Drosophila melanogaster: one gene and its partner. The protein of the gene in region 1 interacts with the protein of each later gene in a pairwise test. Each region holds a gene or a part of one and is shown in the gene's direction. Other genes may lie near its edges. The genes, in order: eIF4E4 and mxt.

Evidence for each region.
Region 2: the proteins of eIF4E4 (region 1) and mxt interact in a two-hybrid assay, tested with the Drosophila melanogaster proteins (2 studies listed by BioGRID).

Annotation. Positions count from the first base shown.
Region 1 is NT_037436.4:6,663,638-6,667,492, reverse strand, and holds eIF4E4 (eukaryotic translation initiation factor 4E4), read left to right. Parts: upstream 1-1,851; 5' UTR 1,852-1,985; coding exon 1,986-2,326; intron 2,327-2,378; coding exon 2,379-2,478; intron 2,479-2,558; coding exon 2,559-2,646; intron 2,647-2,901; coding exon 2,902-3,062; 3' UTR 3,063-3,269; downstream 3,270-3,855. Other genes in the region: Grl65a (gustatory receptor-like 65a), read left to right, coding at 1-645, 709-855.
Region 2 is NT_033779.5:4,841,930-4,849,372, reverse strand, and holds mxt (mextli), read left to right. Parts: upstream 1-2,077; 5' UTR 2,078-2,134; exon of another isoform or gene 2,135-2,209; intron 2,210-2,608; exon of another isoform or gene 2,609-2,657; intron 2,658-3,022; exon of another isoform or gene 3,023-3,094; intron 3,095-3,156; 5' UTR 3,157-3,329; coding exon 3,330-3,731; intron 3,732-3,797; coding exon 3,798-4,119; intron 4,120-4,214; coding exon 4,215-4,286; intron 4,287-4,600; coding exon 4,601-4,661; intron 4,662-4,726; coding exon 4,727-5,204; intron 5,205-5,261; coding exon 5,262-5,655; intron 5,656-5,714; coding exon 5,715-6,313; 3' UTR 6,314-6,789; downstream 6,790-7,443. Other genes in the region: CG11927 (uncharacterized protein), read right to left, coding at 49-1,518. UniProt on the Drosophila melanogaster protein: Plays a role in promoting translation.

The DNA of each region.
Region 1 (3,855 bases):
ATGAGGCAGGTGAATCTAATGGCCAGGCACCCGAATCTGTTTCGCCTGAAACATTTGCTGCTCCTTCTTTTGGCCCTGCAAAATCTTTTAAGATCACTGAATACGATAGTGGGAATAAGTAACCACTCTGCTGAAGCTTATGACTCTTTTCTTAATAGCGTTATCCTATTAATTATACTGGCCGTCCTGCTGAGCTTTCTTCTTCAGATCACCATCAATATTTGCCTCTTTGTAGTGCTCATTGCCACGTATAGCGAACTACACCATTGCACTCGACGAATCTCAAATGATATGGATAAGCTCAGACTTCATTCTGTCCATGAAAGTGGTCAATTTATGGTGTTGGTAAAACAACTTCAAGGAATCACTGAAAAATTAATTCGACTGCGTCAAAATGTCTTTCATATTACCGTCAGAATCATACGGCATTTCCGATTTCATTGGCTGTGTGCTATTATCTACGGATTATTACCATTCTTTAGTTTAACAGCTAAAGATCAAAATGGTTTTAACTTCCTCATCATTTCCGCATTGAACATAATATTCCAGTGGACTATTTTTGCGATTCTTTCTCGTGAATCAAGAATCACCCGGAGTTTATGCACTTTTCACTTGACCAATTACCATAAGGAAACTGCTAGAACGGTGAGTAAAACTATATAATATAAACTAGTAGGTTTTTTTTTTGAGTTTTCTTTTGAAGTACAGATTGATGAATTACTACATCAGGAAATTTGGGAACGTATCACAGTCACCATATACGGCAATACACTCGACACGAAATTGCTGTTCAAACTGCTATCCATTAGTGCCTTTTGCGCGTTTGTTAACCGACTGGAGTACTTGCACATCTAGTGTCCTCAATAGATCCTGCCATTTAACTGTCAAATTAAAGTCGGAGCAGTCCTTGCTCAATTTCGATATCGTCGTTTTGTCTATTATTAGCATTCTGGGCTGTCATGTTATCGCAACTGTTGTGCACCAATGTCAATTGCACAAGTCAAAAACTGCCTCATAGATGACTTTCGAGATACTTTGCCGGCAATTACGTAGCTGTTTCATTGTTCCACCATTTCGAACAAGCTTCATAATATTTTCACTTTTATGGCAGGCAACATAAAAGACGACAGCTTTGGCAATAGCAACAACATCATCATTATCAACACCATCAAAGCCCGGAAAATTTCACCTTCTGTGACTCCACCCCCCCTCCCAACGCCGTGCCTTTCGTCTCCTTTTGTCCCCCTCAATTGTCGTAAAATCATAGGAAAAAAGAAAGGAGCCAACGGAGGCGAAAAGTGTGAGTGCGTAAATTTCTCTCTGGACTCGGAGTCGCTCAAGTGTCCTTCCATTCTGTGTCATAAAATTAACGCTTTATATGAACGAAAGCATAAGGCGCTCGATTTTTATCACCAAGGCCAACAAGATGGCCATAAACGAATCAGGAACATGGAAACGCAGAGGAAAAAAATAGGCAGCTAAGTATCTACAAATGAAAGTGTAATTACAAAAGATTTATACTGATTTTTAAATAAACTTATAGCTAAATCTATATATAAATAAAAATGTATATTTTCCCAATTACAACCCACTTCGTACTGTTATTTTCTGGCAGTGCATAAGCCCATAGCGAACCTTATGAGAACATAAAGAGTTAAGAGTTGAATTAGAAGCAGAAGAAACTGGGACCGAAGTACGTTGGGTAGTAAGAGAGGTGGTCCAAAGAGTGCCTAATTATTTACGTGCAATGAAAGTTATGAATTGGGGAACAGGTCAAGTCGGCGAGGGTAAAAATACCCCCGAACCTCCCTATGCCTTTACTGTCTGTGTGAATGGCTTCAGTCTGGTTTCGTAGCCAGCCCCTTATACACATTCTCGTGTTGTGGCTGTGAAATCGTTTTTCCCAGGTGATCTGAAATTTTATTAGCATCCATTGTTATAAATTTGAATCAGTATAAAAGATCATTCGCCAAATACACTCAACCATGCTGACGACCCAGCAGACCGAATTCAAGATGATGGACAACGGCACCGAGACGCTGGCCGATTCTCCTTCGAGTTCCAGCGAGGATCTGAAAACGCTTTCGGATATGGATATTCGCAAGCCCGTAACGGAGATTGTTGATTTGCGCCTTAAGCATCCGCTAGAGAACACTTGGACACTGTGGTACTTGGAGAATGATCGCAGCAAGAACTGGGAGGACATGCAGAACGAGATTACTAGCTTTGACATGGTCGAGGACTTCTGGAGTCTCTACAATCACATTAAGCAGCCATCTGAGATTAGAGTGGGCAGCGATTATTCTTTGTTCAAGAAGGGCATTCAGTAAGATTGGCTAGATTTATATACATGATTACCGATTTCCTATTCATTGCAGGCCAATGTGGGAGGATGATGCGAACAAGTTCGGCGGCCGTTGGGTCATCAATATGGGGCGTGGCTCCAAAGCGGAGCTCGACAAGCTTTGGTTAGATGTGGTAAGTAGCTATTGGAGCTTTGTGTCCATCGCCTGTCATATCAGTTGCAACTGCACAACCTCTTTTCTGCCCACTGACAGCTACTCATACTGATTGGCGAGGCCTTTGAAAACACCGAGGAAGTCTGCGGCGCCGTTATCAACTTGCGCGGGAAGAGCAACAAAATTTGTGAGTATTACTGAAAAAAAAAAGATGTGCATGTGCATTAAAAAAGCTGGTTACAAATATTATATTTTACTAAAAACATTACACATGTTTTGTTTACTTCGCCAACCTATAAATATTAAGTGGTATACACCTAGGTTGGCTCTGTTTTTTTTTTTTAAACATAGTTTACACATTGTAGTTTTGTAGTGTACTCAGCTTAAGTAGCCAGTGGACACCACCATGACAACTACTAACCCAGCGCCTTTACTCCGCAAGCGATTTGGACCGCCAACGGGCACAACGAGCTGGCCGTCATGGAGATTGGACTCAAGTTACGCGACCTGCTCGTCCTGCCGCCCCACCAACTGCAGTACCAGCTGCACAAGGACACTATGTGCAAGCAGGGATCGGTGATCAAAGCGGTTTATTGCGTGTAAGCCGTCTCCGTTTTGGATGCCACCCACCACTCCATCCACCAACCACCCACATTTCCATGGCCGCTTATGCCTCTGAATGCTGTTTCCAGCGCGTGTATCCGAAAAATATAAAAAAAAAAATGTATCTTGAAACAGAACTGGTTTTATGAATTTGACCATGTTAAAAATTGCAAAGAAAGATGTAAATACATAGTGTTGTGAATGCATATACGACGAGCCATCATTAAATTCCCCAGTTTTTAAGTCCCAAGGAGCTCTTTTTATGCCGCTAGTTGGACCCTTTATGCTCCACAAAATGTTATGCAAACATATGCCGCACCAGAGCGCAAATAAAATGGTTTATATACACTTGCAGTTTGTACTTTTGGCCGGGCCAGCTAGAAGTGCACAGTGACTGCAAAAGATAAACGTCCACTTGGTTCGCTTGGCTGGCCGAGCGAAAAACAAAAGACCGAAAAGGGTCAACAATGGCCACGGCGGATTGTCCGTTTTAGCGAGTGCCACAGTACCCGGCGCTGAATCTCTGGGATCTCTGGTATCTGGAACTGGCGTCGAGGGCTTCCAAAATGGAGACAATTGAATTTTGATGAAAGGCCGAACGAAACGCCGTTGCCTCGCGCAGTATTAAAATTCATGCTATGAGCTTCGAGTTCGAGTTTGAAAAGAGACTCTTAATTTGCGTGTAAAAAATGTTATTTTAATAATTTAAAAAAAAACCTATTAAGTACGTTTTTAAAGTATCTTTGGTATTCTAGTATCTATAACCATTATCGAATGACAAAGCTGTAGGTTC
Region 2 (7,443 bases), on another chromosome or scaffold:
ATAGTGTTTAAGAAAACCCACGACCTGGGTTAGTTTCGGATAGCTATTCTAGGGCGGCAGCAGAGTGGCACCCTTGACAAAGTTGTTGCTGTAGTGGCTGAAATACGAGGGATTGGAGTTGGACCCCGTGTTGTTGGAACTTCCAGAGGGCCAGTAGTTGGTAATCTGTGGTGGGGTGTCAGGTGGCGGCGGAGGCGGCGCTGAGGTACCAATGATGGAGAGATCCGTACCGCCTTTGATGGCACGGCCGGGACCGAAGAACGTATCCATTTGCTGCTTCTTGAAATCATGCATCGACGCAAAACCATTCGGCGGCCTCTCCTTGGACATGTCCCACGAGCCGATGCTGGATGACTTGCGCACGAACACTTGGCCCTTTTCATTCTTGTCCTGCTCCACCCAGCGCTCTGCATGCTTCACCGTCAGCATCGCCTTGTGCGCAACTATATACTCCTCGGCCTTCTGTAGTCGTTCCAGTTGCTGCTCGTCCAGCTGGTCGCGCGGCAGCTTCCCCAAACGCTGCACCGTTCGCTTCCAGTTGTGGAACTCACGGTTTTTAAAGGGCTTCATGGCCATACGGTACTCCTTCCACTGGCGCTGGCGCTCCTCCTTCGTACCAGGCGGTGCATCCTCGAGCGGCGGTGGTGCCTCTGGCTTCTGTATCCATTGGCCATTGACCTGGACAAATGTGCCGCAGCGCTTGGGCTTCTTGGAGGGCTGCGCTTCCCCGTTTGACGGCGAATTGTTGCCATTGCTTGGCGGTGGGGGCGGAGGCATAAGCCTCGTATCTTTGTCACTGTTGCCGCGATGGTTTACCTTGAATTTCTTGTTATTCTGGTTTGGATTGCTGCGATTGTTTTGTGCTCCCTGCTCCTTGGGTACCAGATTCCACAAGCTGGGGCACTTGGGCATGGGCGGTTGGATTGGTGGTGGTCTATGTTGTGGCGACATCATGTCCTCCCAGAACGGAGGCGGCTGCAGAGGTCGGTGATTGTGATTCCGGCGGGGCCCAGAACCACGTGGTCCTCCAAAGCCCACTGGACCACCGGGGCCCATACTGCTCATGGGACCACAGGGACCCATATTGCTTATGGGACCGCGAGGTCCTCCTGGTCCCATTGGCCCCATGGGGGGACCGCATTGTCCGGGTCCAGGCCCAAAATTGCCTCCAAAGCCCATGTTCATCAGCTGCATAGGAAGTGGAGGCGGTCGATTCATCGGAGGATAGTTCCTGTCCTGGTAGCTTTGCGGACCTCCGCCTCCATGAAAGGCATTGTTGCTATTCGAAGACCAATGTTTACGTCCGTTGCCGTTGTTGTTATTGTTGTTGTTGTTACTATTGTTATTGTTGCTCCGTTGTAGTCCGCTTTTGGTATCCGGTTTCAGTGCATCCTTGCATTTCTTCCAATCTGCAAACGACATTTTCAGCGGCTTAGTTTCAGGCTCATCTTTGCCGGACTCCGGAACGACTTCCTTGGAATCCTCTGGTGCCGCCTCCACGTCCCCGTTTTCAGACATCTCGCACCTTAGAGAGTGGGAATACACTTTATAAATATATCAACTTAATTTTATTTGAGTTTTGCTTAGCGATGGCAAACAAAAATTTCAATAACAACAAATTGAAGGAACAGCCGATGTTTTCTATCGATATTTTCGTGCTTAAAATTTTAGGGAGTTTCCCCTGAAGTATTTTCTTAAGAGTCCTGTTGTTCTTAAAAAAGAACAGTAGTTTCCAAATGTATTCTCTAAACTTTCCGCTATACCAGTAAATCTTCATTTGTTAACTAGTAAGCGATATATTAATGCCCAACGTAATATAATATATATTTAACATTTTCGATCCCATGCAGACACAACCGGCGGGGAATAGTAATTGCCCAGCGTCCAGATACCATAGTGAATTGTTGGTTATCAGCGATAAGTGTCTGATTTCGTAACATTTATTTCATATTTAAATTTAAATTTTAATACGAACACATCTGTGATGCGAAATTGATGTGAGCTTTTTGACTGCGCTTTACGTGAACTGGTCTGGATAGCTGTGGCGCATCTCTAAAATCTAACGTGTTCGATCAGGTGGCAACACCCACCGTAAAAAACGATTTTAGTCGCAGTCGCAGAGATTTTGGTTTTGGTAAGCTCTAGTAATTTATTGGAAATTACGATCCAAAATACACCGTTTTAAGAGACGTTTCAATCGGCCATTAAAGTAAATAATAAGCGCGACGAAGACTAAACATCAAAAGTGTTGAAACTAGAACGAGAGTGCAAAGTCGGTCGCCAGCAAAACGCGTAGTTTGCTTATTTTAACGAAAAGCGGCCAGTGCCATTAAAATATTACTCAATTTCACAGAGAATTTTGGCCGAAAACGGATGCAATATATGGATATATAGACCCTGTTTCCTGAAAGTTAACTTCCTTTTTGTTCTACGCCCAACACGGTCGTCAACTGCGCTGCCATCGTCGACGTCGGCAGAGGCCATTCTTGTTGTTGCTATTCTCGACATATGATTCAATAGAGCGATCGCCTCTCTCTTTCTCCCTCCCACGGACAATTTCAGTTTTTTGTAATATTTCTGTTAGCTGTGTTTTAGTTGCCCATGTTTGTTTGTTCTTGTTGTTGTTGCTGCTGCTGCTGTTGCTGCAGCGGCAGTAAGTGATATTTAAAAAAGAAATGAGTTGTTCGCATGGAGCGAAAGTCGAACTGAAATAACACAAATGGTCGTCCGTTTGTCGTTCCCATTCGATATATGCCAACAATTTTCATCAATTATTTACATATTTTGCTTTTGGAACTTCGCACCGATTAACTGAGCAGAAGCCAGAAGCTCAGAAGGCGCCAATGGGTTAATTTGGCCACTAAACTATAGATAAATCGCGGTGTTATCAGCTAAAGCCGCTTATCAAACGTGCACATCGTTAAGATATACGAGAGCTTTGCGTCGCAATATTCGAGATTCGGTCGGAAACGAGGCCAATCTCCATATCCTAAGAAACCTTTTGGTTGTCCATGCTCTCGGCCATTACTCCCAAGTTCTAATGCAATATAGTCGGCTTTGATCATCCTAGCAGCTGAAAGCATGTATCCAAATAGTACAATAGTTTTAATGTAAACAATACATTTGATCGATAACTAACCTTTCTTGTGTTTACAGGGGGAGGTGCGGAAACAGCTTCTACGATTCATTTTTGATCAATTCTTCAACAACATTTAAACGAACGAATAAGTTAGCAGACCATATAGACTGAAATCAGCAGATCCGGACACCAGGCGGGACAACCTTAAGACTTCTTCACGAGACGATATCGAATCCAACGAATCCCGAGAATGGCTCACACACACCTGGGACGCGCCGTGAAAAACATTGAGGCGCCACGCCCGTTGAAGACACAATCGCGATCGTCGTTGAAGAACAGCTACCTGGTGATCGAGGAGCTAATCCAGTTGATAGACAACGTGACCGTCGGTCTTCAGTCGTGCAACACCACGCCGGAATCGATCACGCTGCTCCTGCACAACCTCCGGGTGCATGGACCGCAACTGGAGGCGGTGTCCAAGGATACACTGGACCGGGCCTTCGTCGTTTTCCGCAACGCTTCGCAGGACGAACGGCTGAATATAACGACGCGCCTCAAGCTGCTCGAACTCATCGAGCTGCGCGCCAAGAGCTGGGACAATGACGACACAATCGCGTACTACAAGTCCAAGCAGCAGATCTCCAACGTGGAGGTGAGTAGAGTACATAGAATCGATCTCACTTTGGAAAACGATCAAATATGTATCGTTGCTTTGCAGCTGCCTTCGGAATACCAGTACGATGCCGGCGTGCAGCCTGGCGCCTTCAGCACCTCCCCCACATTCGGCGTCAGCGGCGGTGTTGGTGGCGTTAACGATGGAGCCGCAGCCGCCGCTGCCGCCGTCTTCAATGCAGCATCTGCAGCTGCAGCCGCCCAAGCTGCGGCCATTGCGGCCGTGGGCACATCCAACCAGCAGCACATGCTGCTGCCGCCCGGTGAGGTCATTCGTAATTCGGGCAAGTTCCCCAAACCGACCAAGATTCCTGGCAAGACGTACTGCAAGGACGAGGTCGTGATTCGCAATGCTGACTCCGGCAAAGGTAAGTTTTTCAATCAGCTGAGGAGTGTTCTGGAGCACACAGATCTACAGAAATGGTTTTCAATAATGTATTCCTCCATTCCCGTGGCCAAAAAGTAATGGGCATCAAGGGGCGTCGCGTGCACATGATCGAGGAGCTAAGCGAAACCATTATATCGTTTCAAAGAGGTAACTCCAGAGAGCTGGTTTTAATTGTGATCCTCACCGCACCCCCATTTCATTTGGCACGCTTATTTAAATCAATTAATGCCCGGTGGCTTCTACAAAATTTACTAATAGAAATTATAAATACGCATGTTCCAGATTTTGTCCATTCAACGACACCACATTAAGCCAAAATTGATCGTTAAAGGCATTTTGAAATCACATATTTTCATACTGTATATATGCATTTTGTTTTTAAATGTTTTCGCATCCCAATTATTTTTCATAAATATAAATGCTTTTTTCGAGAACAATTATGAATGCCTTGTTTTCATTAGTCAACCCGGGTGCCAAGGAGCGTTTGGTGCAGATTACTGGTCCAGCTGAGGATAAAATTAAGTGAGTAAAGTAAATAAATTAAAGCTAATTTACCTTTATGTCAAAATGTTTTAATTCTACGACAGCTATGCCAAACAACTTATGGAGGACACCATTCGTCGGAACGCCTCGCCGGTGCGCCTGGAACCCGCTCCTGCCGTTGGAGGATCCTGCTCCTCGCTTAACTCGTCCAACTCGGACGACGCCATTGTGCAACCAAGAACGCCAACCGGAAGCAGTTTGGCCAACCGGCTAAGCTTTAACTCGGCCCAAAACTTCATGACCGCCACAGCTGCTGCACAGCAGATCTCGCAGCAGATGCACCACCAAACGCATCACCTGCAGCACCAACAGCAGCAGCAGGTCGCCGCAGTAGCCGCCGCAGCAGCAGCGGCGGCACATGCTCAGGCGACAGCCGCTGCCGGTAAAGTCTTGCGTCCCAATCAACAGCTGCTAATGCACTCATATTCCACAAACGATGCTTCCGTAGGTGAATACAAGTTCACGGTCAACGTGGGCCAGCACCTGATCAAGATCACCGGCGACTGCTGCGAACTAGTGCGCGTGAGTAATGTTGAAGTTTTCAATTGTGAAATTTGTTAAATCCCCTGCGATTTCAAGGTGGCCAAACTCGTGCTCGATGACTATTTTAGCAGCTCGGAGTTTCTGGCATCCATTGAGGCTGGCGCCGCCTTCGACGGCACTTCGCTGGTGACCACGCCATCGACTCCGCTTCCCGGAGCCGGGCCGCCGCAATTTTGGCTGCCCGGCACGGACAGTGGCATTGGACTGAATTGCGTTGTTTCCTCGTCAGCGAACAACAATGGTGAAGGCGACGACGAGGTGTTCGCTGAGCCCAGCAATGGAGGATCATCGACTAGCAATCAGAATGGACTGGCCAGATCGCGTCGCAGCCACTTTTCGCGCAAGGAGTCCACGCCGGAGACCAAGGGCGCTCGGGAAAAGGGTGACTTGGACGATTTGGCAGGCACCAATTCCTTGAAAAGCAATGCATGTAAGATTACAATCCTTTTATGCTTAACCAAGTCTTTGATGCTTAAACTTAAATTACAGCTCGCGTTTCTTACGATATTGAACACTTGCTCTACTACTCCATGAGTCCGCACTCGTGGACCCTGCCCACCGACTGGCAAAAGATGCAGGAGACAGCGCCCTCGATTCTGCGCAACAAGGTAATTTCGCCGTTCGATGGCTCACTTGGCCGTACGGCTTACTCTTCGAACATCCCCGATGCTATCATCGCCAGTGCACCTAACTCATCAGTAATAACACATCCGTGGGCTTTAAATGCAATAACCTCCTCCCCGAACACAAATATCATCAGCACCGCCGTTGGACTAGCTGCTGTCGATGCGTCGGCAGACAACAATCCCCTAACCGTCACTAACAAGCAATCAAAAGGGATCTTCGCCGAACGCGAGAACCGTCGCCTTCCCAAAACATCGGCCGTGTCCGATCGAAACCTGTATAACAAGCAATTGCAAATCATAACTAATACTGTGGGTCAATCGGTGGCAACACAAGGAAAGCATCGCCAGTCTAGCTATCAAACATCACAAGTGAAGGCAATTTTTCAACGCTACTGCGAGGACGATGAGTTTTCATTGGCACTGTGCGAAACAGAATCGAATAATAACCGCGTTTATGTGTAATTTCATTTAATTTCATTTAATTTAATTTAATTTTACGTAGCCGGAATACGTATTATTGAATCTCAGTCACAGATAGGCTTTTCTTTTCATGTCAGTATTTTTGCTGTTTTAATTTTATATAACTTATCATTAAGAAAAGGTGAAGCGTGAAGAACTTGATAATGAATCAAGTCAATACATCATTATCATTATCATCATCCAGTCATTAGATTAACGACATACCATCGAAACCAAACCGATCGCTAGTCTTAGAGGTAACAATACATATAATGCATTGAAATTAAAATGTAACTATAGGGAGAATCTGTGTTTTGGCTGTGAAACAGATTAAGTCGTCGCTAAGGATAAGCTGGAAAGGCGGTTGAAACCGCTTAACCGCTAACAAACAAACATTCTCGAATTCAAACCAACATTTACAAATCTGTAATCAATACGATTTATATTAACTAATAAACAGGACTTTCAAAGTCCGTAACAAAGCTTGGCTGGGTTTAACTTACACCACCACACACCCCACACATTGTAAATTATAAATTGTAACTTGTGTTTTACCACCGAAGCATCATAACATCACCACCTAACCACCACTCCAGATGGCTAACTTAGTTACTAAACTGTTCCGTATGTATATATGTTCGTTCATCCCTGGATAGCTTGCGTGTCAATGTTACTTTGAAATCAGATATTAAACCATTTCTTTGTTCGACAACAGGATCTGCAGGATGAGAGCCAGCGCTTCGATGGTGATAAGTATCTGGCCAGCATTAAGACGGCCGCCAAGCGAGACATTGTGGCTGCCGATGAGGTCGAGACTCTGGACGAATAAAGCCATCAATCGAGCGGCTCGAACTGACAATATAGAGTGTCCCGGGGTGAAGTGCCTGCTCCCAGACGGAGCTGCAGTATGCTTCAATGCTTTTGGCCATGGCCACATCTAACAATCGCAAACTCAAAACGACCAAAACAAAACAAACAAAAAAAAAAGAATATTGAAAAATATGCAAACTAACCCTAGAAATTACCAACGAAATAATCAAAAATTTCAAAATAACTAGAAAATTCAACGAAGCTCTTAGTTAAGTTCAATCGAAATGGGAATCCGGAATATTCCCAATATATACTAATTCAAA